Arabidopsis thaliana: one gene and its partners. The protein of the gene in region 1 interacts with the protein of each later gene in a pairwise test. Each region holds a gene or a part of one and is shown in the gene's direction. Other genes may lie near its edges. The genes, in order: ENODL15, NRAMP2, AT1G80890 and AT5G25940.

Region 1 (7,392 bases):
ATATGGGGTCTAAGAGGGGTCTATTATTAGAAGTGTAATTAAAACATATTTCCTCATTGGATGATATCTATAATACATAGATGCATAGGTGAGACGTTGAAAGCACAGAAGAAAAAGCATTGGCATGTGGTTTATGAGAAAAGACTAGACGTAGCTCCATTATTATGGTTGCATTATTTATATTTATACAGTCTACCTCTTTTACATTACATACAACTGCATCCATATTTAATGCACTCCCCATGTTATTATCCTCTCATTTACTTTGAGATTTCTTCGTTGCAAACTTTTTTCGTTGTTTTTATCTTTTTTCGAGATTTGTATAAAAATGGTAATGAGAGAACAGAAATACACTAAAATGTAATGGGTGTGGTCGTGTGGATCGGATGAGTGGAAAATCTTTCTATACAAAAAACAGAAATTTTTGATTTTAAATTGGTCATCAGTCTTAAGATCATACATGCTTCTATCACATCCCTTCAAGTTCGATTCAGTAACAATCTCACATGTATGTATGCTTAAGGTTAAAGTTTCAAATCCATGCTTAAATGGTTGAAAATAAATAATAGGAAAAATGTCAAAAAATGCGCTAATTTTCAAATTTGGGACGAAAAAAGCATGAATTTTCGAAATGTCATTTAAATCTTAAAGTTTGGGTTGACTTCTTAAAAAAATGTCTAAGTTTTGTTGACCTTGCATTTTAAAGCGTGCCGTGAAATTTCCGTTGAGCTAGAACCTTAGATCACTGGATCTGTAGTCAAGCATTAAACCGTTGAGCTACTCACGCTTTTGGTGTTTACTTAAGCTAATAGATATATATATTCGTACATGTAATTAATTGAAAAACACAAACCTAAAAGCTCCATTATTGCCTGCGTAATAAACAGCGTGAACAAGTCCAGAAAATAACTCTGAATCAGATGTAATCAAGAGTTCACAATACTTGAAATCGACAACATTAAACGGATCTCCAATTGTATAAATCCGAGAACGGTACTCTCCCCAAACAAACCATCATTGGACATAGACGAGCCACACGATCTCAACCTCACGCTCATATTTGACGTGATTCCACGCCACCTGCTCACGCTGTTTTCTTCTCAGGCAACAATGGAGTTCTATTAGTTTCAACTAGTTACATATATATAAGCTCAATCAATGTTGTTACAAGTTTACAGTAGCTCCATGGTTTACAGTAGCTCCGTGGTTTACAGTAGCTCCATGGTTGAAGGCTTAATTACAGCTGCAGGGAATCGTCGGTTTGACACTAGGTTGTGTCCGATTTTCTTCTTATTTTTAATTTTTAAAACGACGTCGTTTTGAACTGTTAACGGAAAGTTGACTCCGTTAATTTTCTGTTAACGCAAATTTCACGGCATGCCTTAAATGACCACGTCAACGAAACTTAGACATTTTTTAATAAGCCAACTCAAACTTTGAGATTTAAATGACATTTCGAAAGTTCATGCTTTTTTCGTCCCAAATTTGAAAGTTGGCGCATTTTTCAACATTTTTCCCAATAAATAATACATCAAATGACAAAAATAAATTGACTGGAAGACTGCAAATGGTATCAAATGAATATGTACCCTAAACAGAGAATTGATGGAATATACTGTAGTCAATATAGTATTGCGTTTGTATTTTTATGTCATAGAGAACATAAAAAGCATGGCATATACCTATAACACAAACGATTACTCTTAGTGAATAATTTAAGACGACAATCCGGAAACCTCACATTTAATCGAACCGTGGAGAATATAGTCAATCCAATCGAAACCAAATTTCGGTTCTGAGATGAGAATGCTTTTTATTGTTTGATCGTTGAGATATGAATGTTTAACGTCAAACGACTAATAGTAAAGGTTTAATGTTGAAAAATAATAGAAAGATAATTATAGACAGGCGTGAGCATAAGGCATCATAAACAAATGATGGTGAACACTGACTATGGGTCCAAACCTCCATAATTGCAACCTTGTGCTTCTTCTCTTCCTTTTCTCCTTTCTTCATAAATTTCTTTATAATTTCCTACTCTTTTTTTTTTAACTTCTTTTACCTTTTTATAAGTAGACGAAAATTAGTTTTTACCCTTAGTTTTATTTGTGTAAAACTTACTTGAATTATTTGGAATGTACAAATAGTTTCCGCAGAATAACTTTGGTCGTTTTCAGGTCTATCTTTATCTTATTGTTTTCTTCTTGAACATCATGAAATAAAATGATAGAAGACTCCACCAATATGGAGAAGACTCAATTGGATGTTTTGTAATAGTGGTGTGAGTTTCGTAATAGTAAGCTGTATTTGCCAAATGACGAAATGTTATCATATGGGTTTGAGGAATAAGTACACAAACCCTATTATCCAAGTAAAAAATAACGTGGCCATTTGTTTTATTTTGCACAAAACAATGTATATATATAATGTACGTATCTATTAAATTTGTAGCTCTAATTAATATTTACGAGTGAGAGAGTTGATTCTAATGACGTTACATACCAAACTTATGCAAAATCTCATTTAAGTCATTGAATTTCTATCTTTTTGTTATTGAAAAATTGGAAAGTGAAGATTTTAGATATTTAATTGTTAGTCATGAGTTATGGCTTATGGACGAGCCGTTAGATATGTTTCTAAGTAGTGGATACTTGAACTGAAGCTTTTAGTAGTAGTACTTTGAATGTTTTATCAGAATTGATTAGAAAGTAAACGATGATCAGCCTAATTTAAAGACGAAAATGTTGATTTATAAATAAAATGTGTGCAGTTGGTGAGGAGAGAAAAAAAAGTTTGTCGTCCAGGTTTTATGCTCATAAAGCAACACATGAGTGTTTCTACCTAACAGCCTATGTCAATACACTTACTTTTCTGGGCCATTAAGTGGACTCACCTAATTTTTTCATATTTATAACGTTACGATCTTATTTTATGCCAATCAACGTTTTTTAAAGACATGCGAATCACCAATTGTCTCATAGAATCAACTTGCTATTATTTTGTAGTTGACTAAAAAATTACTATTTCTTTCCTTAAACTTTTATTTGGCACTTGACAGTAAGTAATCAAGACCACATTGCCGATTCAAAATAATCACACCGTTCGAAATTTTCAAATTGAGTTTTCTTGTTAGAGAATTTACCCTAAAACTAAATCAAAACCAAACTGAATAAATTCCATAAACAATTGGAATTTTCTATTTTTCATTAAGACTGGAAATATAAAAACGTAATCAAAGTCATATCAAAAGACTGCAAAACCGGATTTGTAGTCTTTGAATGCCATGCATGATGATGCTCTACACATCTTTTAGGATATGGCCCAAAAATATTAATACGCAAAAGAAGCCCACAATAATGGCCCTACTTTTAAGCGACATAACACAGAGAAATGTAGAGGATTCGGTGATCTAAATTATACGCATGCATTTGCTACACAAGACTACTCTATTCCTCCCATTTTATTCTTCTGCTTGCTCTAGTAGTTGACATAAGCCATTCTTGGACACGTTATGTTATTTTATTACAAGTAAATAAGAAGTTCCAACAAGAGCATGAAGCAAGAACAAAATTACAAAAGCAAAAAAAGAAGAAGAAGATAAACCCTTTAATTCTTCCCTTGAAATTTTACTTTCTTGGATGTGTATCTTCAGGTTTAGCCGTCCCTGTGGCAGCCTTAGCTACATCAGTGGCAGTGGCTTCCGGCTTCTTCTTAGCATACATAACAGTGTACATGATGGCCCCCGAGATAGCTAATCCGGCTAGAGCCATCGTCGTGTAACTGTATGGCAAGTTACGGCGTTGATGAAGAACACCACCTGGATTACTTCCTGGCGGCCTCTTTGATGACTCAACGCCGGCAGCTTTTACTCCCTCCGAGCTCATCTTCGTCGTATCTGCTGTTTTTCTCCAGTCTTCTTCTCCGGCCATGCTTATGCCTTCTTCAGTATTTTTTTGGTTGGGACTATACTAATCATGGAAAATTCAGCTTTAGCTATAGGTTTTTGGATATAGTAAGAGTCACGAAGACACGTAGTGTCGTTGGAGTTTGTTAATGTGTTCAATAAGGGACACCTAGCTGATTCTCTTTATTTTCTGTAATAAACATATTAGGCAGGTGTCATGCCTTAGAATCGTAACTAAGCCAGGTGCCAAATTGGGTCTGGACTTTTAACTATAATCAAAATTTATGCCCAAAGTTGGAGGTTTTTGTCTTCTGCTTCTCATATGGGCTTTAGGCGATATGTCTTTTATTCATCTTTTATCAACTTCAAGGCCCAATAAACCCAGTTCCCACTAGCAAACAAAAAGTAAAGTACAAAAACAAAAAACAGAAACAGCTTAGCTTGACCAGTCTTCCTAGAAGACCGTGAAATCACTTTCTCTATCAGAGTTCAAGTTTTGTCGCTCAATCCTAACCGTTACGTTGCCTTTATCATCTCTCCAACGGATACATTAACATTTACCATTTTTTCCTTTTAATTTTTCGTAATTCCTAAACGGCTAGTTTCCAAGTCCTCTACCTTTATATAAACCACACAAGATCCACACTCTCTCCATCCTCAACACACTTTAAAACACATTACACACTCTAATACTTTTAAGGTTTTAGATTCTAATCAATGGCTTCTTCTTCTCTTTTGGTCACCATCTTCCTCTGCATCTCTGTCTTCTTCTTTTCGTCCGTGAATGCAAATGAGGTTACCGTCGGTGGAAAATCCGGTGACTGGAAGATCCCTCCTTCCTCTTCTTTCTCCTTTAACGAATGGGCTCAAAAGGCTCGCTTCAAAGTCGGCGACTTTATCGGTAAATCCATAATTTTCAACTTTTTTTTTTCAATTAGACATTTTGTGTGATCTTCAATATACTCTGTTTCTGACATCGTCACATGTTTATTACAGTATTCAAGTACGAAGCCGGTAAAGACTCGGTTTTGCAAGTGACACGAGAAGCATACGAGAAATGCAACACCACTAGCCCTAAAGCCAGCTACACCGACGGGAACACAAAGGTGAAGCTTGACCAAGCTGGTCCGGTCTACTTCGTCAGTGGAACAGAGGGTCATTGTCAAAAGGGTCAGAAGCTACGCCTAGTCGTCATCACTCCTCGTAACTCTGCTTTCTCTCCAGGTCCTTCGCCATCTGAGTTCGACGGTCCAGCCGTAGCTCCTACTAGTGGTGCCGCTAAGCTCGCCGGCGGATTTAGTGTCGTATTTGGGCTTGTTCTTGGATTATGGGCCTTCTTCTTTTAAAAGACAATTAGTCTTAATTCTATTTATTAATTTTGGAATATAAAGTAGAAATCTTTGTTATTTACTACATTAAATTTATTTTAATCTAAATTGTTCTTCCTCTTTTTCAATTCTGGATAAATTAGTTGGATCTATCAACAATCAACAAAGAAAACAAAACAAAAGTGAATGAGAATTTTGAATTTAGTACCCAAAAAGGTAATTTACAGCAACACAAAGAAACCTGGACTGTCGTGAAAAGAGGCCTAAAAATGGGCCTGAATTGGGCCTAAAGATATTTTGGGAGGGAAGCAAAACGGTAAGGATCGAGTGGAGCGAGTCTGATTTTATCCTCTCGGCAAGTTTTTTATTATTCTGCTTCGAAAATTCTTTCATCAAAAATCTCCGGTTCACCGAAATCGACTCCCTCGCGCTCTTTTCAGCCGGTGAACGGAGACGAATCAAAATGCTCATAGCTATTCAGCACGTGTTTGTGTTTTGTTAGTTATATCTGCGCCACTTGAAATGTGATGAATCATCATCGTTAATCTCTGTTTTCGTTTCAATTTTTGCCGGAGAATTGAATTGTTTTGCTTGCTTGGCTTATCTCTAGAATGGTCGCGTTACTCTGCTCTGCGAGTTTGTGTGGTGATATATCAGTTGGTGATGCTTGTCTTGTTAGTAACATCAAAGCAAAATGTCGCGATAATTTGGTTACTGGAGGATTAAAGTTCCACGCTTTGAAGATTGGGTCTCGGAAGAAACACTGGAGAAGGAAGAGTATGAGATGTAGTGTAGTCTCCATGAAAAGTTCTGACTTTTCGGGTTCTATGATAAGAAAGAGCTCAAAACCTGATTTGTCATCGAGTGAAGAAGTAACGAGGGGTTTAAAGTCGTTTCCTGATACTGATTCTTCATTTTCGTATTTCAAATCAGTGGCTGGGAATTTGAATTTAGTTCACACTACTGAGACTTGTAACTACATGCTTGAAGCTTTGAGGGTTGATGGTAAACTTGAGGAAATGGCTTATGTGTTTGATTTGATGCAGAAAAGAATCATAAAGAGGGATACTAATACTTACTTGACTATCTTCAAGAGTCTTTCTGTGAAAGGTGGATTGAAGCAAGCACCTTATGCACTTCGGAAGATGAGAGAATTTGGTTTTGTGTTGAATGCATATTCATACAATGGGTTGATTCATCTTCTGCTTAAGTCTAGGTTTTGCACAGAGGCAATGGAGGTTTATAGAAGAATGATCTTGGAAGGTTTTAGACCTAGTTTGCAGACTTACTCTTCACTTATGGTAGGTTTGGGGAAAAGAAGGGATATTGATTCTGTGATGGGTTTACTTAAAGAGATGGAGACTTTGGGGTTAAAGCCGAATGTTTACACCTTTACGATATGTATTCGGGTGCTTGGTAGGGCAGGGAAGATTAATGAAGCATATGAAATACTGAAGCGGATGGATGATGAAGGATGTGGACCTGATGTAGTTACTTACACTGTTCTTATTGATGCTCTGTGTACTGCTAGGAAGCTCGATTGTGCGAAGGAGGTTTTCGAAAAGATGAAAACAGGAAGACACAAACCAGATCGTGTAACTTACATTACTTTGCTGGACAGGTTTAGTGATAACAGAGATCTGGATTCAGTGAAGCAGTTTTGGAGTGAAATGGAGAAGGATGGTCATGTACCTGATGTTGTAACCTTTACCATTCTCGTGGATGCTCTGTGCAAAGCTGGGAATTTTGGTGAAGCATTTGATACATTGGATGTGATGAGGGACCAAGGTATCTTACCGAACCTTCATACATATAACACATTGATTTGCGGTCTTCTAAGAGTCCACCGGTTGGATGATGCACTTGAACTGTTTGGTAATATGGAGTCTCTGGGCGTGAAGCCCACTGCCTATACGTACATAGTTTTCATTGATTACTATGGAAAGTCTGGAGATTCCGTCAGTGCTCTTGAGACTTTTGAGAAGATGAAAACCAAAGGAATAGCTCCGAACATTGTAGCCTGTAATGCGTCTCTCTACAGTCTAGCTAAAGCGGGAAGGGACCGAGAAGCGAAACAAATCTTCTATGGCTTGAAAGACATAGGACTGGTCCCTGATTCAGTAACTTATAACATGATGATGAAGTGCTACAGTAAGGTTG
Region 2 (9,227 bases), on another chromosome or scaffold:
TATAAGAACAACTCATGTAATTTCTGTATGTAAACGAAGTTATACTGACGAATTTGAAAACAATAGGCTTGAGTTAGAAATTTTGTATTGGGCTTGATGTTATTCATTCGGTTATAAGCTCGACAAAGTATCAATTTATAGGTATCATACATTACATGAAATGTTTGGTTATATCAGTAATCATCATTATGCAACTTGCTACATAATTGGATTGACACATTTTATTTGCGATTTGACAAAATGAACAGTCTGTTGGAAAATATTAGATACGTGTTTACTACATTAAATGCGGCGACAGTATTATATACTGGTTCCAATGTTGCATTTGGGTAAAGGGTGAAAGAAAGTGTAGAAACAACATGTTTCTTATAAGTATAACAAAGGAGGACAACATGATGCACTCCCCAGCGAGTCACCATTAACTTCTCCACTGAGAATATAGACAACATTGGTCTAGAAAAACACCAAGTGAAACAACAACGTTAAGAAAATGATATACTGGAAAAAGCATGTCTCCATTATATTAGTTTTTCACTCTATAGAAAGTAGTTCACCTCTGGAAATTTGAAAAAAAAAACATGAATTTAAGAAGAAACTCGATAGGGATTATTGTCAATATGAAAATAGAGAAACCAAGCAACCAATTTAAAATTGTTTTCAATTACATAATACTAAACCCTAAGATAATATATAGGGAACGCAAGCAACCAATTTTATAGATTTTTTTTGAGAAAAATCCAAAACATACAACGGATAGAAAACACTGAAATTTGAAAGAAAAACATGAATTTAAGAGGAAACTAGATAGGGATTACTGTCAATATGAGAATAGGGAACACAAGCAACCAATTTAAAATTGTTTTCAATTACATAATACTAAACCCTAAGATAATAAATAGGGAACCCAAGCAACCAATTTTATAAAAAATTTTGAGAAAAATCCAGTTTTAATTATATATATATATATATATGCATGTATATAAATATGTATTTGTGTAGTTATATCACTGGATCCGAAAATCAACTCAAACACATCTCGATCCCTTTTTAAAGGTATAAAAGTATAAAATCTAAAATGAAAACATAGTATACAGATAAATCAATGACTATAAATAACAAGCATCATTATAGAAAAACACCTTATAGAATAAACATAGCATGTTATCTATATAAAATACATGAACCAGCTATAAATAACATGCATAATATGAACAAACCTCTTCTTCTTTTTTTAACCCCTAAACGGACGAAAAAGAATCCACAAAATTTGAGGAAATTTCCAGATCTCGCCTTATCTAACTTCATGTAGAGAGATTAAGAAAAAATTGAGGGTTAGTAGAGACTAAATAAAAAAGAACCAAAACTTAGATCTGGACACAATCGGTAAGAACTCTATGTAGGATACTTATGTAAGTATACATGGGAAGAAATAGAAGAAGACACAGATAAATAATCGGAAACCCAGGACTGAACTTACCAGATTCATTGGCGAATACCAGATTGGATAGGAGGAGAACGAATTAAAACTTCTCTCGCAAACGGCAAAAGAAGGAAAAAAAGATTAGCAGCTATATAAAACACATACAAAAAACTATAAAACAAATGCAAACAAATGAAATAACAGAGTACTTAATGGCAGACCAAAAGGTATAAAAGCATGAAATTTAAAATGAAAACATATTATAGAGAGAAACCAATTAGTCAAAATAACAAGCATCATTATACAAGAACACATTATAGAGTAGACATAACATGTTATCTATATAAAATACATGAACCAACTATAAATAACATGCAAAATATGAACAAACCTCTTGTTTTTAAACAAAAACCCTAGACGGACGAAGCAGAATCCAAAGAGTTTGAGGAAATTCCCAGATCTCGCCTTATCTAACTTCATGTAGAGAGATTAAGAAAAAATTGAGGGTTAGTAGAGAATAAATAAAAAAGAATCAAAACTTAGATCTGGACACAACAGGTAAGAACCCTATGCAAGATACTTATGGAAGTATACATGGGAAGAAATAGAAGAAGATATAGATAGAGGGAAAAAAGAACCGAACTTTAGATCTGGCCACAATCGTTATTTTCTATGCAATTGAAGTATAAAGGGGAAGAAATAGAAGAAGATCGGCGATAAATAAACGAAAATGAATGGAACGTAAGACGTTCAAAATCCTCGATATCGCCGAATCTGCAGTCATGGAACGTAAGACGTTCAAAATTTGGGTTAGTATAGTATAAAAGAGAACAGATCAAAAGACAATATTTACAAACCTCAAGTGTTTTTCAAACAAAACCCACAGCGTCAGCCACAAAAGCCTCCGATATCGCCTAATCTTCTTTCGTGAATAGTAAGAGACAAAAAATGGGTTAGTTGCATGTAAGAAACACAGATAAAGGACGCAATATCTACAAACCTCGTGGGTTATTCAAACAAAGCACATCAATATTTACAAACCTCATGTGTTTTCCAAAAAAGCACAGAAGGATTCCCAAAAAAAAAACAGAGACTTTAGCCGCAAACTCTCGATGGTCGCCTAACTTTCATTCATCAACAGTACACGAAACAAAATTAGGGTTAGTTAACAACGAACCGAACTTTAGATCTAGACACAAGCGATGATTGACATGCAATTAAAGGTATAGGGGAAGAGAAATAAGAAGAGCAACTGTAAATAATCGGAAATCAGTGGTTCTACTTACCCAAATCGTCGGCGAGGGAAGACCAAAAATTAATCCTTCGATTGTCACCGGCGACTGCAACGAGAAGACGATTTGAAAAGGATAATCGGAAACACAATCAATTTCTAGAAACAACTACTACTTGGATCGAAAAGATGAGAGCAACGACGATGAAATTAATCGCCGCCGAGAGAGGTTTTTTCGGTGAGAAAAATTTTTTTTTTTTTTTTTTTTTTTAATTTTAGGGTTATTACTTTGGTCGTGAGACAAACTTGGGCCGAATAATGCAATAGAATTCAAATTTCAAACCCAGAATCATACGCTCCCCAAACAGTGTCTTGTCGCTTTGATGTCTAAGGTTATACATGTAAAATTACATGTGTTTCCGACTTACCCCTGTAGCTCATGGCTATTCTCTTAATTTTTTTTGAATCCATGGCTATTTTATGTAGATACTCATTGAAATATGGTAAAAGAAGGTACAGTAGAAATACTAATTATGTTCATGCTTGAAAGTTGAAACACACAAAAAAAACGAATAACATGTTTTTATGATTTAAATAATGAGTGATGAAAACACACATGAAGGGATTGACAAAAATACTAGTCACTAAATATCCTCATGATACAAAAAAAAAAGAAAAAAAGAAAAATAGTCACTAAATATTCACTTAACTAAAAATCCTCATGATTTGTTCACTTTGGAAAATTCAGCAAAAAAATTTAGTAAGCTTATTGAATGTAAACCAGTAATTTCTGATGAGATTAAAACTGAGTTCTAGTTAAAAGACTTTCGGATGAGGAGGTTAAATTTTCATAATTTGCATCGCATCAAAAAAAAAAAAACATTTTATCAATGGTTGAGTTTCTGCTCATAAATTTTTGGAATGTGAGTAATACAATCATATCAACTATGCTATTCATGAAGCTCTAAAAAACTAATCATGAATCTTATATTGGAAACTCAATAAACTTTTGGTGTGGGATATTTAGTTTCACACATTGTGATCTATAAAAGAGAGGAAGAGATAGATCAAGCAATGGATCTAAAAATGTATAAAACACACACTTTATTCACTACCTTGTATTCAATTAACGTCATTAAAAAGCAAAGCTTTATTCAAATTTGTGACAATACAACTATGGCAACACTACACTAAATACATAATTTCAAAGCAAATTTATAACATAAAGTTTTTCTTCTTTTTTAGGCATTAATATAATAAAGTTGAATCTGGTACCAAAAAGTTACGAAAAAGAAACGCATTAATCTCTTTTTTAAAAAGCATCTGATTAAGTGCCTGCGTCTTCTTCTTCTTTTATCCCTCCAATTCAAAATTCAGGTACGTCGACGACACCACCACCACCACCGACAGAATATTCCGATTTAACCCTCACCGAATATTCCCTCTTCCTCCATGGAAAACGACGTCAAAGAGAATCTCGAAGAAGAGGAAGACCGTCTTCTTCCTCCTCCTCCTCCTTCACAATCTCTCCCATCCACCGATTCCGAATCCGAAGCGGCTTTCGAAACAAACGAAAAGATCCTAATCGTCGATTTCGAATCACCCGACGATCCAACAACCGGAGACACACCACCGCCATTCTCATGGCGGAAGCTCTGGTTATTCACCGGTCCAGGTTTCTTAATGAGTATAGCGTTTTTGGATCCAGGGAATCTAGAAGGAGATCTACAAGCTGGTGCAATCGCTGGCTATTCTCTGTTGTGGCTACTAATGTGGGCAACAGCTATGGGGTTGTTGATTCAGATGTTGTCAGCTAGAGTCGGTGTAGCTACTGGTCGTCATTTAGCTGAGCTTTGTCGTGATGAGTATCCTACTTGGGCTAGGTATGTGCTTTGGTCTATGGCGGAACTTGCTTTGATTGGTGCTGATATTCAAGAGGTTATTGGTAGTGCTATTGCTATTCAGATTCTTAGCCGTGGCTTCTTGCCTCTTTGGGCTGGTGTTGTTATTACTGCTTCCGATTGGTGAGTCCTTTCGATACTCTATTCGTTCTTTAGAGATGTTGGATTCGTAGAATTAGTAGAGACTTGGTTTGGAGAATCTTATGATTCATTCTGAAATTTTAAAACTTTGCGGATCATCTTAGCGGTATTGAGTTTGAGTATGGATCATTCGAACTCACAAATCAGTAGAAACTTGGTTTAGAGATTCATGATTCAATCTGAAGTTGAGAATTTGCTTTTACTTTGGCTGTTTTCTTGTAAAACTTTGCTAAGATGATCCAAACTCACAAATCAGTAGAGAATTGGTTTAACGATTTGTGATCGAATCTGAAATTAAGAAACTTGCTTTTTTGTATTTTGAAAACTTGGCTAATGAATTTGTTGCAAACAGTTTTTTATTTTTGTTTCTAGAGAATTACGGTGTGAGGAAGTTAGAAGCTGTTTTTGCAGTTTTGATCGCAACTATGGGTTTGTCCTTTGCTTGGATGTTTGGTGAAACAAAACCGAGTGGGAAAGAACTTATGATAGGTAAAGATTTCAGATTTTTACTCTTGAATTTCACTTTATTTGCTTTGATTTGAGTGCTTAAAAATCAAATCTTTGTGTTTATGGATAGGTATTTTACTACCGAGACTTAGCTCAAAGACAATTAGGCAAGCTGTAGGTGTTGTTGGCTGTGTTATAATGCCTCACAATGTGTTTTTGCATTCGGCTCTTGTACAATCGAGGAAAATCGATCCGAAGAGGAAATCCCGGGTTCAAGAAGCGCTTAATTACTATTTGATCGAGTCATCCGTCGCACTTTTCATCTCCTTCATGATTAACTTGTTTGTGACTACTGTCTTTGCAAAGGGGTTTTATGGAACTGAGAAAGCTAATAACATTGGCCTAGTTAATGCTGGTCAGTATCTTCAAGAAAAGTTTGGAGGCGGGCTTCTTCCGATTCTTTATATCTGGGGTATCGGGTTGTTAGCAGCCGGACAAAGCAGTACGATAACTGGTACATATGCTGGACAGTTTATAATGGGCGGTTTTCTGAATCTCCGGCTTAAGAAATGGATGAGGGCAGTAATAACAAGAAGCTGTGCTATTGTGCCTACAATGATTGTGGCAATCGTGTTCAATACTTCTGAAGCTTCCTTGGATGTTTTGAATGAATGGCTCAATGTCCTTCAGTCTGTACAAATTCCTTTTGCTCTTCTCCCTCTTCTAACCTTGGTATCCAAAGAAGAAATTATGGGAGACTTCAAGATTGGGCCTATTCTCCAGGTAAATTTCCACTTCTTTTACTACAAGTCTCCATAGGATACCACAATAGGTGAATTAGTGTTGAGTCTTATCGTTTTAGGTGTCTCGACTTTTTTAGTTTCACTGTTTGTGCAATTATCTTAGTAAACATGTAGAATTGAAAGTCCTTCAATGGAATAGAGAAGCATGAAGAGTGAGTATTTGTAAGTTGATTGGATTTATTGATTACATTGCAGAGAATAGCTTGGACTGTGGCTGCACTTGTAATGATCATCAATGGGTATCTTCTGTTGGATTTCTTTGTATCAGAAGTCGACGGGTTTCTGTTTGGAGTTACGGTCTGCGTCTGGACGACTGCTTATATCGCCTTTATAGTGTACCTCATTTCACACAGCAACTTTTTTCCTTCTCCTTGGTCATCCTCTTCCATAGAACTTCCCAAAAGAGTGTCCGTCTCCAATAGCTAGTAGCTGCACAAAAATAACTGCCCTCAAGACCATTTGTTACATGTCAAGAAGATACAGTAAACAAACTTCATCCACTATAGTCTTATACATATTGAAACGCCAAAGTGGTGATAAGAGTTAGCTTAGCTTTTTGTGAATGTTAACATCACAAATATGTAGTGGCAAAGTCTTTGTTGTACTTTTTTGTTTTTGTTAAGAGGATGTGCACATTCCAATATGATTTAAAGAGGCTTTTACATCATAGAAAAAAGCAGAAAACAAATCAATAAAAATCTAATAAACCATTGAAAAAATGGTCAAGCAAAAAAAAAAAAGTTTCTTAACTAGTGTTAGCAAAAATCATTGAACATACGCTAAAAGAGATAATACTCAATACTAATCTGCCATTCTAACAGATATATACAACCCAAAATTCAGGTAACTAACACTTCCAATACATAAGCTTCAAGCTTCTTTTACGCCATTCCTCTAATGGTAATATCTTCAAAGAAAGCAAGAGGTAGCTCCGGTGAAACAGGCATGGTCGCAACGCACTTGTACTGTACCAAGAGAATCAGATATTAGAATGTTCTTGTTGCAATATATCACAAGTTTAAAGTTACATCATTGAATTGTTGAATTTACCTTGTGTTGCTTGTACTTATTTCTAACAGCTTCTAGAGTGTTTCCTCTTCTGCTTAGATACAAGTCATGTATGATACCCACGCACACTTGTAGATCAGCTGCTTTGTACTTTGTGTATTCTTCTAGCATTTGATTCTGTTTGCATCACCAGAAGAGGATTTAGAATATAAAGAACTTTTTCTGTATAAGAACCTGTCATGGTTCTTAATTTGCTTACCCAAGGATGTTGTTTTGGACGGATGATGAACCGGGCAAGAAATACAGCTGAAGCAGACAAAAGAGATGGCAAATACTTCACACAGGTGTAATCTAACATACTCAATTCTGATAGATAGCAACAAAGGAACTCTATCTGCAATTGTGAGTCCTGCAAAGGCATGAAAAAAAAGAAGATTTAACAATAGAAATTATGAGATGCAAATGCCACAGTTTACAGGTACATCGATTTTGAGCTTACTTTGAAATCTTCTTGTGCAACCCGTGTAAACCGTCTGCACAAACACGACATAAAAAAGAGAATAACAATCAAAACAAGGGCAAGTAAAACCATGAAATCATAAGTTTAAACACCAGACTGTTTCAGAGTCGAACCTTAGGAATGTTTTGATGGTTGGGCTTCCTAATTCAAACTGCAGAGCAAGAAGTATATCCGCCTCCATCGACACCACTTCTTGTTTAGTAAATGTATTATCCGTAATGTAACAAAAATCTTCAACTTTAGGAGGACCTATCTCTTCATATTTCCTACTTTTTTAAAAGCAAAAATAAAGATTCCATAAGCCAACCATCTAAGACTCTTCACACCAACACAACAATAAACAAAGAGGATTAAGATGCTTACGACGCAATAAGCATTGCAGAAACTCCCACAAGCTGAAGCTTCTGCCTGTTAATAGGCTTCACAGACAAGAATCTATCAACATAGGAGATAGTGAGATAAAGCGTATCCGAAACAAGCTTGTACTCCTCAGCAACCTCCACTAACCAATCCACCAAAACCGCTCTCATGTGTGGAGTTAAATCACTCTGAACCTTTTCAATATAATCAGGTAGTGGTCTATGTTTCGGCTTCCCCTGAAAATTTTACCAATCCAAAAACAATAACCATTAGTCCCAAAGTATCAATCATCTCTAATTTCTCCAAACATATCATATAACCATAAGAGCAAGCTGTGATTGGACAAAATCTCAGAAACTTATCAAATCCACAACTTTAACCAAACCCATTAATCAATATCAAGTCCAACACTGTACCAATTCCAAAATAACATAAACTGATACCATAAGATCACTAAGATCAAAAATGATGGAATCAAGAAATCTACTAAAGATGATTTTTTTTTTACCTCCATTTCACGGAGATAAGCACAAATATCACTAGCAAAAGGCTCACACATCTGAGGATCAACAGATCTCGATTCGATTAGTACGCTAGCTTCAGGAATCATCAAAGCCTTCTTCATCTGCCTCTTCGAGGTATTAACACTTGTTTTAGCCTTAAGGGTCTCTCTTTCTTGATTGGGTACAGCAACGACATTGGACATATTCGGAAGCTCTCCGAGAACAACTCTCTTCTTACTAACTGGGTTTTCGTCTAACGCCATGGACGACGCTTTTCGTTTCGCCGCCGCTCTCGTCATCCTCGCACAGTTCTGATTCTCCGCCATGGGGTTATTTCAGTGGGAAAGTGAGATTTGAGAAAAGGGGTAATGTACAAGGTAGGTAAAAGGAAATGGGTTGAGTAAAAGCGCCATTTTTGTTGGGGAAGTTTTGAGATTTTTAGGTCATGGCGCTTCTCTGTGTAAATTTTCCGATTTCGAAATTTTTAGGGATTTGACTTTTGAGTATCCAAAATTTGGGGCTTTTTTGCAGATTTCATTTCCACATTTATTTGGCGGCTGTTTTCTCCTTTTTACCCTTCAAAAAGTTTCACTCCTATATTTAGACAATCATTATTGTTTTATTCACTTAATTAAAGATGAAAATAACAATCAATGAATGCTTTTAATTAAGGAAATTATTAGTAGTTGATTTGTTTTTTTTTCGGTTTTGGTTAAGATTCGGAATTAAGTGAGATGCTTTTAAAAAATTTAAAAAAAAATCGGTTTTGCATTTGTTTTTTTTTTATACTTTTTTTGGGTTTAGTTTTACATTTTTGATTTTTTTTTGGATACAGAAAAATAAATCCACTAAACCATATGAAAATATTTTGTCTAAACAATAATAAAAAAAAA
Region 3 (7,572 bases), on another chromosome or scaffold:
TGTGCATTAACTTGGCTTTGGCTTGTCTGCAGAAAGCTCCAGAGTTACGGCCTGATGTTAGTGAAGTTGTGAGAATCTTGAGAGGGGAAATGGACATTTCCTCCACTGCTTTCGAGTTTTCTCCATCGCCACCGGGAAAAGTTTACGGCAGTAGATCGAAGCGGAGAAGCTAAAACAGGGCAATGCAGAGTAGTAGTTCGAGGTTTGATATGATCTTTTCATTTTCGAAATTGTTGGATGTAACTTGAAAGAGTTTTAGCTTTTGAGAATTGTATTATGTTGTAATTTTTGTAAACTATATATATAATTTAAAATCTTATATATAAATATTTAAACTTTAAACTTTTTCGATTGATTAAATAATTTTAGATAAATTGTCTTATTTTCTTAACTATACCTAATATTTTTGTTTTTTAAGTGTTAAATTTTAAATATGTGTAAACTAATTGATTGTCCAATTATGTTTATTTAGAATTTTAACACCTATTTCATTTATCGAAAAACGTTTTTAGTTTTTAGTTTATACTAATTTATATATCAATATTTAAAAGGTTTTTCGATGTTTTCCATACTCTTGATGGAGTAAACTGATGGTTCCTTGAAATGTGGCATGAAAAAATTGCAACACATAAAAGAATCCAAGGCCATAACATTCATCATTGGTTCACGAGTCACAGAATACAAAAATATTATATAAGAAAATGAAGTCCAAGGACAAAAGAATACAGAAAAGGACACAAATAGACTATGAGAGAGCTCTGAAGATCTTGCCTTGGAAACACAGTGAGCTCAGCCTTTGCCTGTTCTGCAGTCTGGCTCATATCATAACACATTGAACTTTAACTTCTTGTAACTTGAACGTGCAGCGATGCGTGGACGTGTAACAATCAAGAATCACACTAGTTTTTAACGTCTATCATGTAATCCGGAGAGAGATTCCTGAATCAGCATGGCTGCAAATGATTAGTTTTGCAGATTCATTGATATTAGGAATATGCAAAGGTAGCGATCAGCAAATCTAGTAAACTGACGAAAAGATTACCTGGAAAACTGCACGGCGGATGTAGTGAAAGAGTGGAGACCGTGAGGTTTGAGAATTGAGTCATTATTTCAGTGATCGTTTGATGAGAAACTTCAAGTCTTACCCCTATCTGATTATTTTCTGTCTACTGATCGTTGACCCTTGTAGCCTTCCTGAGAACCAACTTTTTGAAGATTCATCCTCTTGCTTTTTCTGACCCCCTTCACCTTTTGCTCCTCAAGAAGTTTCTGGAGCATAGGATTTCCTACGAACCCCTTTGATTTCATCTCTGAATAGATCTCTCTGGCCTTTTCAAGCCACCCACATGACAAAAGGCCCTGTATTGTAGCCAAGTAAAGAGCAGGATTAGCCACTATCTCAAAACGATCCATTTCTGCCCAGATCTTCAAAGCATTTTCTGGTTGCTTTCCCTTGAACAATTTTCCAAGAATAAGAAGAAAGGTCTCTTCTGTAGGACCTAAATCAGAGATCTTCATTTGGCCTAAAACCTCTAAAGTTTTCTCGAAATTTACAGCCTCAAGGAATGCATGAAATGTATCAACTGTTGGACTAAGGTTCTCACTAATCATGGTTGCCAATACATTCCTGGCTACGTCCAGCTTTCCAGCCTCACAAAGGGGGCGTATCATCGAGTTGTAGGTCACTGAATCTGGCTTTAATCCTTCCTCGTTCAACTTTTTCATAAGCTTCATAGCTTCATCAAAGCAATCCTCACGGGTCAACACATAAACCAAGGAATTGTAAACTTCAATCCCTGGAGCCAATCCCCGTTTCTTCATTTCATCGTATAGCCTGAGAGAATCAAAAAGGTTCCCAACTTTAGAGAAGCAAGAGATCATGTGACTGTAAGAGTCCTTGTTAGGCGTGATACAGTAATTCCCCATCTCTCGCCAAATCCTCTTTGCTTCAGTCACATCAGTCCAAATGTTACACCAACCATTAAGAATTACGTTGAATCCCTCAACATCCACCGGAAAGAGCTTTTTGCTTGCAAGCATGAACTCTTCAGCTTTTTCAATGTGGCCATGTCTACACAATGCACATAGCAATCCTTGAAATGCTTCATCATAAGGAGTGTGTTTAAACTTATCCATAATATCAAATGTCCGAATAGCTTGGCTAGTATCATTAGCAGCAGCATATCTACATCAACACCGTCACCAAGACAACCAATTCAATACCTAGCTAGTAAATCTTTCAATTTAGCACAACAAAAGAGAAACTTTTATCAAGAAGACGAAACCGAACCTGTCCATCATGAGAAACATGGCCTTTCTAGTATCCTTTGAAACATTAAACATATCACGGATCAAACACCAAGCAATGTTGAACTTTTGATGATTACCCAACACCCAGATCATCAAATCACAAGATTTCTGATCATCACAGCCGCGTTTCTCTCCCCATTTGAATGCTAGAAAGGCAAGCCTCCATTCATCTCTTAATTCCCAGATTAAGGAGTAGAAAGAATCATGATTTAGATCAAATGATGAGTCCTCCAGAGAAGCCATGGCATCCGCCTCTGACTCCAGCTCAGAGACCTGTCTGATTAAATCAATCAGACCCTTTTCTAACGGAGCCAATGCTGTTAAGTTGATATCAAATGTTTCGGAGATGGTTTTGGTGGAGAAGCGATTAGAAGAGGCAAAATGTGGGAGATAGCTTAAAACTTGAGAATGCACATGACCTGCTCGATGAAATGCTGAAGAGAAGGAATGATTTTGGGAAACTGAGCTCGAAAACGACGTCGACACTGCACGACGTAGCAGAGATTGATGCTGAACAATCCGCCATTGTGGCGTTCGCGCGAGTTTCCTACCAATGGCAACGATCGCGGCCATAGCGAGTGAGTGAGAAGGCTTAAATTAATACATTTCAAACATGGTCTTAATGGGATGAGGATATGAAGTTAATGGGGTCAAAAACGAATATATAGATAATATGGGGTCTAATATGGTAATAAACAAAGTAACACTAATATGAATGGGCCTAAATAGGGCCCATTTTAGATTTCTTTAAAAGATCCGAGAGAGAGAGGGATCTAATTCCTGATAAACCCTAGAAGAAGAAGAAGAAGAAGAAGAAGAAGAAGAAGAAGAAGAAGAAGAAGCAAAACCTGTGGAGATCGAGATGGGAAATGAGAGCAAGAGCAATTTGGGAGGAGGAGGAATTAGGGCAAAGATGGAGCACTATGTCTACAGTGGGGAGAAGAAGCACGTTTTGGCTGGGATCGGGATTATCTCCATCATCTTCGGAATCCCTTGGTATCTAATGAATCAAGGTTCGTTTTCTCTGGGCGATTTAGATTGAAATATATAAATAGATGTTTCTCTGTAGATTCCGAAATGGAAGAGGATGATGATATCAATAGCTGAAAGATTTAGAATCTAAAGTTTCTAACTTTATATTTCTTGGCAAATGCAATCAAGTGGTCGATCAAATAGAGTTTGATTATATGATAATGATGAGTCACAATGTTTATTCTGTTTGGATCATAATAGACTTGCATGATCACATTTTTTACCAAGTTTGTTTGCTTTTTCCCCTGATGATCACACATCGATTCAATTGCATAATCTCAATGGTTAAATATCTTATTTGCTATATGTGACATTTGGTAATATTCTCCTTGTTTTGTTCATTATATAGGCTAATTGTTTCTCTTATTGGCTTTTGTTGTTTGGTAAATCTGGTTTGTTTCAGGATCAAAGCATCGTTCTCACCAAGATTACTTGGAAAAAGCTGATAAAGCTCGAAAAGCTCGTCTCTCATCATCTTCATCCTCGGATAAGTAGTCATCTCCCCCCACTTGGATGGAGACTCTAGTCAACTACATTTTGTGAATGGATCCATACATCATCGTTTCCATGTCTATAAACTCAGCCATGTCTGTTCTAGAGTGTGGTTCAGTTCAGATATGTATCTTTACACTCTACACTTAGGTTTCTTTATCGAAGATATGTAAATTTGCGATAAGTTAAAGGATTCATCCTTTACGATACTGTTGTGTGAGCTGTGAGTTTCGACTAGGACAATCCATAAAGTGAAAGATCAAGATGAGTCTGGTATGGTTTGCTTAATAATCTTTCAGTAACCCAAAAAAAAAATACACGGGGTTTTATCTTGTAAAGGTCACAGGCGATTAATGTATAGATTTAAGCAACATAAACAGTAAAACAATCGTCTACGTGTCAGGGTAGTTATGTCTTCACAGAGGCATGAGTCTTCTACGTTTGTAGTACCAGAGGAATGCCAAAAATACAACAAGGCCACACACTCCAGTAATGGCTAAAACCCATTTGAAAGCACCAGGCTTTTCAAAGAAGTCTATCTCAAAATTCATCCCAAAGATCCCGGCTACAACCCCGAAGATGGCTACAACGAATGTGGCAGTAGTTAGCAGCAGCTCGAATTGGATCAGCTGATTCCGTACGTTATCCTGCAAATTCCAGAAATTTTCAGCAGATTCTTAAGGTTTTCTAAGCAAATAAGATATCTAAAAAAGATCAAGATTTCAAGGTATACCAATTGAATGTTGATGAAATCTTCGGTATCATCGATGTACTCCTTTAACTGAAGAGTAAAGAGAGTTGCAGGTGATTAAACCGCTTTTAAAAGCTGTTAAAACAAGATGATGAATGATCACAAAGGCGAGGTTTTTAGTTACCGAGGTTAGCTTGTTGAGAGTGCTGTCAATGACAACAAAGTATGCTTCCAGCAACATCTCTAGCTCCTCTATATTCTCGGTTGCGTCTTCTGAGCTCCTAGCACTGTCATGCCGGCTCCTTACAATGCTCAAGCTTTTCTCAAGTCTACGGGACTCAGGAGGAGAAGAAACAGGAGAAACTGGCGCAGACAGAGAAAAACAATCATTTGTTCGATAAACAGGTAAAGATTGATCACCATATAAAGATCCTTCCATTCTCTTCTTCTTCTCTGTTAGATACATTTCTGCCATATCCCCATCATCGTCCATTAGCTGTTCAATCTCATCCCGAACCTTCTGAACTCGTCTCGTCAATGCTACAAGTCTGCTCTTTAGTCTACGAGCACGCTCCAAGTTTAGAGTACTGATCTTTGAGGTAAGCTCATCCAATAATGGGTATGCCTCAATCTCTAACTCTGAAGCCTACAAAGGGAAAATCTATTCTCAATGCTGAGCATACTAAATAACAATAAGTTGTGAATCAATCACTGACCTGGGAATCAAGGAAGGTACAAGCAGCTTCAAGTGCAACTTCAAGAGCCCTGAACTCGAAAGGTAAATAATCAGGGGATGAGTTCTGAAGCACATTGTCTAAACTCCTACTCCTCCTCCTGCTCAATTCGAGACTGTCCTGATTCCAAACCTCAGTAACAGAACTTGCCTTTAGTCTCTGCTGCAGCTCAACAACATAGCGAAGCACATAGTTGTCAAGGGAATTCAAGAGCAAAACCTCATCCGCAGTAATAATACAACGGATCTGCTCTAAGTTAACAACAATAGCCTTCTCTCTACCAAGAATAGTTGACGGATACACAAACAAAGGATCAAGCAGCCTTAAATCCCGTGCTGGTAAATCACATCTACGCATCATAGTGAACTTATCAACCTCAATGACCTGAGAATTGGCAGAAGTATCAACACGAATCCACGACTTAAGGCCTTGTCCACGCTTCTTGAGACCCAAAACATCAACTCCAAGGAGTGGTTGTCTCCCTGAAGGAGAAGGACGAGAGCCTGCATCACCTCTAAGGTTAATAGCCGAAGCAGGTCTTGGAGGAAGCAAACGCTCTTTGAGTTCAGACATTGTTGCCAATCTCCAGATACTACAAAACCAGGTAAGTATAAGGAATGAAATATAAAAAGAATCTCTTCAAGGTCTATTTGATAAAATAAATAAAAAGTCAAGAATAGAAATTTCTCCAAGCAGGATCGTCTTTCAAATACCAGAAGCGAAGTAATAAATACAGACTAATCTCTCTGATAAAAAATGGAAGCTTAAGAAAGCATACATCACAAGGAAAAGATCAGAATACTATAGAGTGTTTCATCGGTCATATCCCACAAAATCAGATGGATCGTCCCAAAACAATAAAACAGAGACAATATATACCAAAAAGGTCGGAAATTGTAGAGAAAATTTCAATTCACACCTCCAAATTAACAATCTCCGACAAAGTAACCCTAAAATCTAAATTCGAAAGGATTGCGGAAGTGACTTGGCCGGATTCCGTCTTCTAGTTTGGTTTGAGTGAATGCGAAGAAGAAGCAAAAGTTAGAACCTTTTTTGCGTTTTGGTACTTTGTAGACGAAATCAAATTACATGTAGTGAGTAATGCAAACCGATTCTTAACTAATTTATATTGGTTGAGACTCAAATTTACCGGTTTAACGCAACTTTCATTATAAAATGCTCTAGCTATCTATTTCATTAATGTTTGTTCAATAATTTAATGCATCAATTCAATTAGTATTCAATTATTTGATCCAAGCGTGACGACTAAATGAGAGAATGATATGTGAAATCTGAAATGTTATAACCGGTTTAGGAATTATTCATAGATTGAGGAGACGAAATCAAAAATTATTCGAGTATAGGTGACAACAACGTGCGATTAGAAAAAGTAAAAATAAGGGATCATTGGAGAAGACAATGGATGACGTAAGCCGATGAGAATCTGAAGATCCTCTACGACCCGAGTCCATTTTAGATCCTAACCCGGTGACCCGTTTACCTGGTTTCCTCTCACCACCAAGTTTTGCTTCTAAAATTTTCTGGTAGATCTGAGTCCACAATCATCAGAAATCAACTTTGTGAATTGAAGGCCGATCACTCCTTTGACTTTGTTCTTAGGGTTCATCCTCAAAGGTAATCAATTTATATGGATTACGCAATTTTCTTAACGAAATTGATTAACTTGCAATTACCTGAACCTCCAAAATCGTAAATTGTAGGGTTCTCTGGTGATTTGATGTGCCTTAAAGTTATGAATTTTAGATACGGAGTTTGTATTATTGCCTGATTTCCGATACACATTTCTGTGTGCTTTTTAAGGTGTTTAATGAGCTCTTAGAAGCTATGGGAATGGCGTCCATGAGCTCTGGTACTGAAAGCCTTCGTCTTTGCGTGTTTGACTTAAGAAGAGGCCAACACGAAGGACAGGAACTGGACAAGATCTTGTTCTTCTATCCTCCTGATCTAACCTTCTCCACTCAGCTATCGGTTATAGGTCTCAGTGAAGGGCTTATCACGTTCACGAGGTTAGCTACTAGAGATTTTCCTTCTTTACACAGATTTTTCGAGTTCATGGATTGATTGATGTTGTCTCATGTTCACATAAATTTTGAGCGTTATTAGCTTTTCCTGTATTGTTGGGTGTTCCTGAGACGTGGTTTATGGAATATAAACACAGACTTTTCTCCCCGGAGGCAGCTTGTGAGGTAATTGAAGCAGAGAGACATTCCCATGTTTTCTATGAGGCCGAGCCCGATATCTGGATGGTCATGGTACAACATTATCAACTCTTTCACTTGTTTTAGCAATTGA
Region 4 (7,971 bases), on another chromosome or scaffold:
CATCCCGCTTTAAAAAACCACAAAATTCAGGTAAACAAATTCTACTATATAACGATCATATAAATCAAAGATTTTGTATATACAAAATTTGGTTATATTTTGCTTTGTATATAAAGAAACCACATTTATGCATGCAGATGAAACCGAGTGTGAAATTTGGTACAAAGAAGACTACTATACCAAACAACGGTTCTTCTGAACACATAAAATCTCAGATTTGGTCTAAATCCGGAAAATGTCCAATGGGGACCATACCGGTTCGTAGAGTTAGTAGAGAAGACATAAGCAGAGCCTCTTCACCGTCTCATTTTGGGAGGAAAACTCCTCACAAATACAGCTTTCTAGACAACGCACTTCAACATAAGGGTAATTTCAATATAACACCTGCAAAAATAAACGAAGCCCAACCAAGGTTAAGATCGGTACGTACAGTGTAAGGTCTTAAATATATTTTTTTAAGACTAATAAAAGCTTCATATGGTTAACTAGAAACACTTATGCTTTGTGGATGATGGTATAGGAGGCATTTATTGTGGCCCTAGGGTTCAATTTTGTCGGAGCTCAATCTGATATAAATATTTGGAACCCTCCGAGGGTTGAAGCTACCGACTACAGTACTGCCCAGATCTGGCTGGTTGGTGGTCTCTCAGAGAATTTTGAGAGCGTTGAAGGTGGTTGGATGGTACGTTTCCATTGCTAAAAGTATTATACTTTGCTTTAGAAGTAAACCGTGACCCGATTAACAAAATCCTATATTTCAGGTGAATCCAGCTGTTTTCGGAGACTCACGTACCCGTCTCTTCATCTCCTGGACTGTGAGTAACACTTTTATATAACTACCAACTTTGAAATATCTCAATCACTTACGTGAGTTTATATAACTACGCTTTCTATTTGGATTTTCAGACAGATGGATACACTAAAACAGGGTGCATCAATCTCTTATGCGCGGGTTTTGTGCAAACAAGTAAAAAATTTGCCCTTGGTGCAACCGTTGAACCTGTTTCGAGTTCCTCTAGTACGCAATATCACATCACCGTTAGCATATTCCTTGTAAGATTTTCTAGTTTATATATGATCAACATTCTACACAATTTTACAAAATTATAAAATTGTCCCTTTTGGTTAATGCCCCAAAAACCGGTGTTAAATTTTTTTGAATATGTTTTGGAACGGGCTTGTATTGTCCTTTAATGCTTTATGATCGATTGTATTTGTAGGATCCAAACAGTGGGAACTGGTGGTTGACTTGCGAAAACAACGTGTTGGGTTATTGGCCGGGTACACTATTCAACTACCTAAAACACAGCGCCACAGCTGTGCAGTGGGGTGGAGAAGTACATAGCCCTAACGTAGTATTGAAGAAGCCACACACGACAACCGCAATGGGGAGTGGACAATGGGCATCTTACATCTGGGCCGAAGCTTGTTTCCACACAAACCTTAGGATCAAGGACTATTCCATGCAGCTCAAATACCCCCAGTTTCTATCCGAGTATGCTGATGAGTACAACTGTTATTCTACACTGCTCCACCGGAAAACATATATGTCAGAGCCCCACTTTTACTTCGGAGGACCTGGCCGGAACTCTCGTTGTCCTTAATCTCATGTTGATTTTGTCAATGTTCATTCTCCTGTTTTTTTGTTAGTTTTATCTTCGGAGGACCTGGCCGGAATTTTGTTTGTCTTCTAATTTAAACTAATCAGAGAAGATCTTATATTGATCATAATCTTTTAATTTTTTTCATTACTAACAAAGCCTAAGAAAGTGGAAAACACAATAGGGAGGGTAAAAGAAACTGAGCCAAATCAAAAGGAAGTCTCTAAACTGCTAATCACAAATTGCATCGAGTCTTGATGCCGCGGTGGAAAGTTTCAACCTCTACATGTAGAACAAAGAGACATGTTGAAAAATAAAATGTGATAAAATAATTTTTCCGTGTATACATAAAAAATAAAATAAACTAGTTTCAACCTCTATATAAGTATATATTACCGTCGACATCAATAGTAATAAAAAATACTCAAATGAATAAAAACAATTCTGTGGATAATAAGTTCCACCAAAAGGAAGGATCAACCATAAGTTCATGACTTTTGGGATTATCTTTGGTAGTTAATCTTAGTTTCATAGCACAAAGAATGAGCCAAATGTACGTTAAATATGCATATTTTTATTAATTTGTATATATAGTTTTGTGTATGTTTCTTATCAACTTAAAAAAGAGGAAAAGTAAAATCATATATATATATATATATATATATTATATAATTGAATTATACTATAAGGAGAAGGCAAATTTTAATTGTGTCTAAGTTACTATATATATATATATAATTATGTACATATAATTAATTTTGTATTAAATTAAATATTTGCTACCCTTTATGGAGCTTATATACCAAATTTTGTATTAAATAAAAAATAAATAAATAGTCTTTAACCTTTATAAGGTACTGAAAACCTTTAATTCGTATAAATTAATATATATGTTTTGTTTCACAATAACTAAAAAAATAAGTAAAAGTAGAAACAACAGATATGTAAGCTCTATAAGTAGTAGGAAAAATGTAATTAAGGATCCAAAATAATAATATTTATATTTTATTTGCAACCGAAAATTTTATAGACAACTCGCATTGAAAATGTTCTCAACTTGTTTTTATAGGAGGCAATACTTCTTGCGGTAGGGTTCAATTATATTGGTGCTCAATCAGGGAATTGTCCGATGCCATTTTCCAGTGGAATTTGATAGAAAATTTAAAATTAAGCATCAAAAAGTTGTCTGATGGCATTCATCGGAGTTGTCTTGAATCACCATTTTTCCGTTTCATCTCCTAACGTCTGTTTTTCACTTAAAAAGTCTCCAATTCCAGTATAACTTCGTAAAACTTGTACAAAACAACCGAAAAATACATTAAAAACGAACAAAAATGTGACAAACAACTCAAAACAAACACTAGACAAAGGACATAAGACACTAAAAACACAATATACCACATACAATTTTGGAGACACCCGCACACCGCTCTTCACCTCTTGGACTGTCAGTAACATTATGACATGACTATAGACATTACATTCACTTTCATGAAATTTACAACTACTCTTTGGATTTGGGTTGCAGAAAGATGCATACAGTAAAACAGCTCCATCAACCTCTTATGCTCATGTTTCATGCACATAAGTACTCAATTAGCCATAGGTGGAAGCTTAGACCCTGTTTCGACTTTCGAGTAGCTCGGATATATATGCATTATATCACATATCCCTTAGCACCATATTTTCTAATTTAATTTACAATATCACTCATTGCCACAAGTGTATAAAAACCATAGCAATAGAAGGGTATCAAAGTTCAAGTAACCAATTAAATTAGAACACTAGAAATACATTCTATCATCCAATCTAAGCAATCAAGTTAAATCATTAGAACAATATTGAACTACCGCCGAAGTAAGATCTCGTCTACCGGAGATATTGTCAGATTCTTGCCTCCGTTTTGTATTTGTTGTTTTGATTTGTAAAACTTTGGCTCAAGTCCAATTCAGGTATTATAATATTTTTAAAAAAAGAATATTGAACTATTAATAAAATCTTAACATTTTCTGTTGGTCCCTAGTACTTTTGATGGGCTCTCTATATCTTCGCTTTTGTATGTTTGAAGCATTAAGGCCGAATTCATTTAAAACTCAACTTCTATACCAAAAATTTTATTTTAAATTTTATGTAATTAAAATAAACTAACCAATTTTTTAAAAATTACTATTTTAATCACATATAAAATTAAGTTTTAATTTATCTTTCTATACAAAAATATCATCATTAATGAAATTAACTAATTTATTATATTTTTTTAATCATTTTTTCACTTATAAATTTTATCTAAAACTGAATCGATTAATTTCTTATATCTCTAAAGATATCCGTATGGTAACAAAATTGACTCCAAACATTTCTTAAGTCGATTTCTAAAACCGCTCCAAAAGACCATTGTGCATTAAAAATACTAAAAATCTAAAATTTAAAATATTCTCAATAACAAACATTTACGAACCACTGAATTTTATTTTATTTTAAAAATAATCTATAACATAATAATTGTTTTATCTGTTTTCTAACACAAATTATTCTAAATACATGATTGAAATACATTTCTAAATTGGCGTTTTATAGACTATAGTATTTTGACAACTTTGTTTTCAATATTGGCGTTTCATTATTTTGGTGAAAGATTCCCAACTTATAAAAAAAAAAAACGAATTTTTAATTTTCGTCCTAATCATTTATTTCCTAACCAAAGAAAAAGGCAAATCGCGACCCGTCTCTCTCTCTCTCTCTCTCCTTGAAATCGAAAGATCAAAAAAGCGACACTGAAAATGGAAAATCGGTCAGAAATGGGTAACCGGAGGCAGCAGAATCTCTTCGTCATAGCTTCTCCCGACGAGATTGCTAAGATCCATCGAGCCGAAACTTCCAAACAAGGTCTCTTCTTCTTTCTCCGTCTCTCTCTCTCTTTTTTCCCCTAAAAAAAATCTTTTAAATTGATGACTTTGGATTATGTTACAGCCGGAGCTATTGCCGGAGCTAAGGCCGCCGCCGTTGCCGCCGTCGCCAGTGCGATTCCCACAGTAATCATATAATCTCACTTATCTAAATTTTTTAAATTGAGATCTTAAATGAATTAAATGTAAGAGTTATGTTTCTTTGTTGTTGAATTTTAAGACAAAAGTGACTCACCAATCTCATGTTCTGTAATAATCAAGAGTTTCAATTTTGTTACCTATTCATTTTGTGATTTCTGAATACACCAAGTAGAGTCACATTCTTTTTGATGTGTATATAAGATATGAATTTGGTACATAAGCATGCCTTGTTTTCGTAACAGGTAGCTGCCGTTCGTATGTTCCCGTGGGCTAAGGCAAACCTCAACTACACTGCTCAAGCACTCATTATTTCTTCAGGTTAGCTCTATCAGCAATATGCCTTAAATCATTACTATATGTTCTTCCTGGAACTAAGTAGAAAAAAGATACTAGCTTTAACATTGTTGTAGAAACCTCGAACTTCCCTTTTGAACCTAGTTGAGTTTGGGGTTTTTAAGTATTCGTACATTCATTTCTCCACAATTTTCTTCTGATTTCTATCTTGTGATTATGGTGATCATTGGAACAGCTTCTATCGCTGCGTTCTTCATAACCGCGGATAAAACGATTCTACAAGGCGCAAGAAGAAACACCGAGGCTCAGTTAAAGAAAGTTCAGCAAGACTCTAAATAATTTCTCTTCTTATTGTAACACAAATCAATCATCATCTTTCTCTGTTTTGTATGCATATTTTGCCTTGATTCTTAATAAGAGTGTTATTATTATAAGGAATAACAAATTCTTTAAGACCATTTTTTATTCAGACTTTCAGATTTTGTTCTCAAATAAGTTACAAGCTGGTAGTTATACTCTTAACTAAAACTTTGCTTACACAAAAACTAAATGGTTTCTAATACATTTGTACATTTCACAAAAAAAACAACATCAAGTGTTGTGATTATTTGATTATACAAAACCTAAATCTTCATCTTCTACCCTTTTACTTGTCCTTCGACCCGATAAACTAACTAGTAGAGGTGCCTCATATGCCTCTGTTGCAGTCTTCTTCGTCGCCTCAAGTCCTTGTTGGCGCAGAACATACAAGACCTCTTTCATGGAAGGTCTATGACTAGGCAATGTGTTAGTACACATGAGACCTAGCTTGAAAACTGTTGTCATCGCCTCAGTCGTGGAAGCTTCTTTGATGTCCTCATCAAACGCCTCTGCGGTCGGTTTTCCAGATTGGTAATGTTTCCATGACCAATCTGCTAAGTTTGTGTGTTCATCTCCGTTGTTTCCTTCTCTTCCAGTCACCAGCTCTAGCAAAACTACCCCGAAGCTGTACACATCGATCTTCTCATCTACCTTTGACGTATATGCGTATTCTGCAACATAAAAATATTAGAGATCACACAATGAGCGACTCTATTCGACTCTAAAGAATGTTTTTTGTTTACGGGTATTACCTGGAGCAATGTAACCAAAGGATCCAGCAACAGCTGACATGGTATGAGGTTCTTGGTTTTGCTTAATCAACAGTTTAGCCAACCCGAAATCTGCAATCTTCGCGTTGAATTCAGAATCAAGCAAGATGTTACTCGACTTGACATCTCTATGTATGATTGCGGGAGTACAATCATGATGCATATAGCAAAGTCCTTGAGCTGCTCCAACTGCGATATTCAACCTCTGTGACCATGTAAGGTTATTAGCCTCTACGGTACCTCCCTTCTTCTTTCCATGTAACCATTGATCAAGACTGCGTTTCTCGAGATACTCATACACTAGAAGCTTTGAATCTTCCCTTGAGATACAACACAATAGTTTCACTATATTCGAGTGCCTGATCGTTCCAAGAATCTCAACTTCAGCAATAAACTCCTTCTCAAGTTTCTGGTCCAGTTTCTTGCTGTCCCATATCCTCTTCACTGCCACACATTGTCCCGAGCTTTCGACGAAAATCTTGTAAACTTTGCCCGATCCGCCACTACCGATCACGTAGTGTTCCATCAGATTCGACACGATGTCGGATTCCGCAAAATCTACTCTATGAAATGAAGTGAGTTTCCACGTCTCTAGACCTCTTCTTCTTTGTTTCCTTGTGTAGTCCCTAACCACAAAGAACGTAACAAACAGAGTAATGGTGAGAAGCAGAACCGCGATGACTAGAATCATCGCGAGGATTTTCCCGGGGAACCCTCTTGATCCCCGGCGCTGTTTCCGACAATCCGGTAAGCTGAGAACCGGGTTGTCTGCACAAAGATTAGAGTTGTTCAAGAAACTTCTCTCGTAAGCAAGATTATCAAGTTGCTCTGGTATTCCTCCAGTGAGTCTATTTGATGACACATTAAATGTTGTCAGCTTCAGGCTCCCAATCTCCGGTGGGATTCCACCGGAGAATTGATTCTCCGATAGATCAAGATTGAGCAGACGTGGCAACAATCCTAAAGCTCTCGGAATTTCCCCGGAAAGCTTGTTCTTGGATAAACTTAACGTTATCAACGACTTCCATGAGATGATCTCATCCGGTAATTCACCGGTGAGATCATTCTCATCGAGAAAGATCGATATGAGATTCGAAAGAGAAGTCAATTCCTTCGGAAACTCACCAGAAAACTGATTGTTTCCCGCCTTAAACTCAACTAAGGAAGACCAAGTACCGATTTTCTTCGGAATCTCACCGGAAAATCGATTGTTATCAATCTCGATCCTCGACATATTCCAAGCAACATTCTCCGGTAACTCTCCGGTGAATGAGTTGTTACTCACCTGTAGACTATACATACTTGAAGCATTCCAGATCCGAGAAGGAAACTTGCCGGAGAAGTCATTGTTCTGTAACTGAACAGTCAAGAGCGTTCCACAATCTCCGAGCGACTCAGGGATTTCTCCGGTAAGATTGTTTGAGTACACAACCACTCCTTGAAGTTTACCACCTTTGCACAAATTTTCCGGTAACTTTCCGGTTAACTGATTCTCCGAAACTTCGAATCTCTCCAGCTTTGAATGAACTCCAATCTCTGCAGGTATTTCTCCGGTTAACTTGTTGTTGAAGATTTTAAACTCCTTCAATCCCGGTAGTTTTCCGATAACCGGTGGAATTTCTCCGGTTAACTTGTTGTTGAAGAGGTTTAACACTTGTAATTTCGTTAGATTTCCGATTGATACCGGAATCGAACCGGTTAAATTATTAGCAGAGAGATCAAGAAATACCAAGTTCGTCGCCGAAATTGATTTGGGGATTTCTCCGGTTAAGCCATTAGCGAAGAGATAAAACTCGGTGAGATTCTTCAACCCGAATAAAACATCTGGGATCCGACCCGTTAAGTTATTGACCGATAAGTCAACGTGCTCAAGATCCGTCATGTTTTCGAAAACAACGG

The links.
Region 2: the proteins of ENODL15 (region 1) and NRAMP2 interact in a protein complementation assay, tested with the Arabidopsis thaliana proteins (one large-scale study listed by BioGRID).
Region 3: the proteins of ENODL15 (region 1) and AT1G80890 interact in a protein complementation assay, tested with the Arabidopsis thaliana proteins (one large-scale study listed by BioGRID).
Region 4: the proteins of ENODL15 (region 1) and AT5G25940 interact in a protein complementation assay, tested with the Arabidopsis thaliana proteins (one large-scale study listed by BioGRID).

Annotation. Positions count from the first base shown.
Region 1 is NC_003075.7:15,397,177-15,404,568, forward strand, and holds ENODL15 (early nodulin-like protein 15), read left to right. Parts: upstream 1-4,463; 5' UTR 4,464-4,621; coding exon 4,622-4,805; intron 4,806-4,900; coding exon 4,901-5,250; 3' UTR 5,251-5,453; downstream 5,454-7,392. Other genes in the region: AT4G31830 (uncharacterized protein), read right to left, coding at 3,627-3,929; PGR3 (proton gradient regulation 3), read left to right, coding at 5,844-7,392. UniProt on the Arabidopsis thaliana protein: May act as a carbohydrate transporter. Required, together with ENODL11, ENODL12, ENODL13, ENODL14 and ENODL15, for male-female communication and pollen tube reception and burst at the synergid cell surface of the female gametophyte.
Region 2 is NC_003070.9:17,306,185-17,315,411, reverse strand, and holds NRAMP2 (NRAMP metal ion transporter 2), read left to right. Parts: upstream 1-3,906; 5' UTR 3,907-4,103; coding exon 4,104-4,675; intron 4,676-5,045; coding exon 5,046-5,182; intron 5,183-5,270; coding exon 5,271-5,923; intron 5,924-6,138; coding exon 6,139-6,369; 3' UTR 6,370-6,609; downstream 6,610-9,227. Other genes in the region: CYCA3;4 (CYCLIN A3;4), read right to left, coding at 6,825-6,908, 6,994-7,128, 7,211-7,360, 7,451-7,484, 7,585-7,740, 7,835-8,067, 8,340-8,660. UniProt on the Arabidopsis thaliana protein: Seems to be involved in iron uptake.
Region 3 is NC_003070.9:30,394,039-30,401,610, forward strand, and holds AT1G80890 (GAG1At protein), read left to right. Parts: upstream 1-3,089; 5' UTR 3,090-3,172; coding exon 3,173-3,323; exon of another isoform or gene 3,324-3,745; coding exon 3,746-3,837; 3' UTR 3,838-4,172; downstream 4,173-7,572. Other genes in the region: AT1G80870 (Protein kinase superfamily protein), read left to right, coding at 1-173; AT1G80880 (Tetratricopeptide repeat (TPR)-like superfamily protein), read right to left, coding at 1,156-2,185, 2,291-2,883; MGT1 (magnesium transporter 1), read right to left, coding at 4,251-4,481, 4,568-4,615, 4,710-5,171, 5,242-5,832; AT1G80910 (vacuolar fusion CCZ1-like protein (DUF1712)), read left to right, coding at 7,105-7,286, 7,439-7,532.
Region 4 is NC_003076.8:9,051,562-9,059,532, reverse strand, and holds AT5G25940 (early nodulin-like protein), read left to right. Parts: upstream 1-4,277; 5' UTR 4,278-4,381; coding exon 4,382-4,487; intron 4,488-4,571; coding exon 4,572-4,633; intron 4,634-4,890; coding exon 4,891-4,966; exon of another isoform or gene 4,967-5,177; coding exon 5,178-5,281; 3' UTR 5,282-5,411; downstream 5,412-7,971. Other genes in the region: AT5G25950 (AslB, putative (DUF239)), read left to right, coding at 1-30, 138-422, 521-682, 762-815, 907-1,053, 1,221-1,604; AT5G25930 (kinase family with leucine-rich repeat domain-containing protein), read right to left, coding at 5,555-5,973, 6,055-7,971.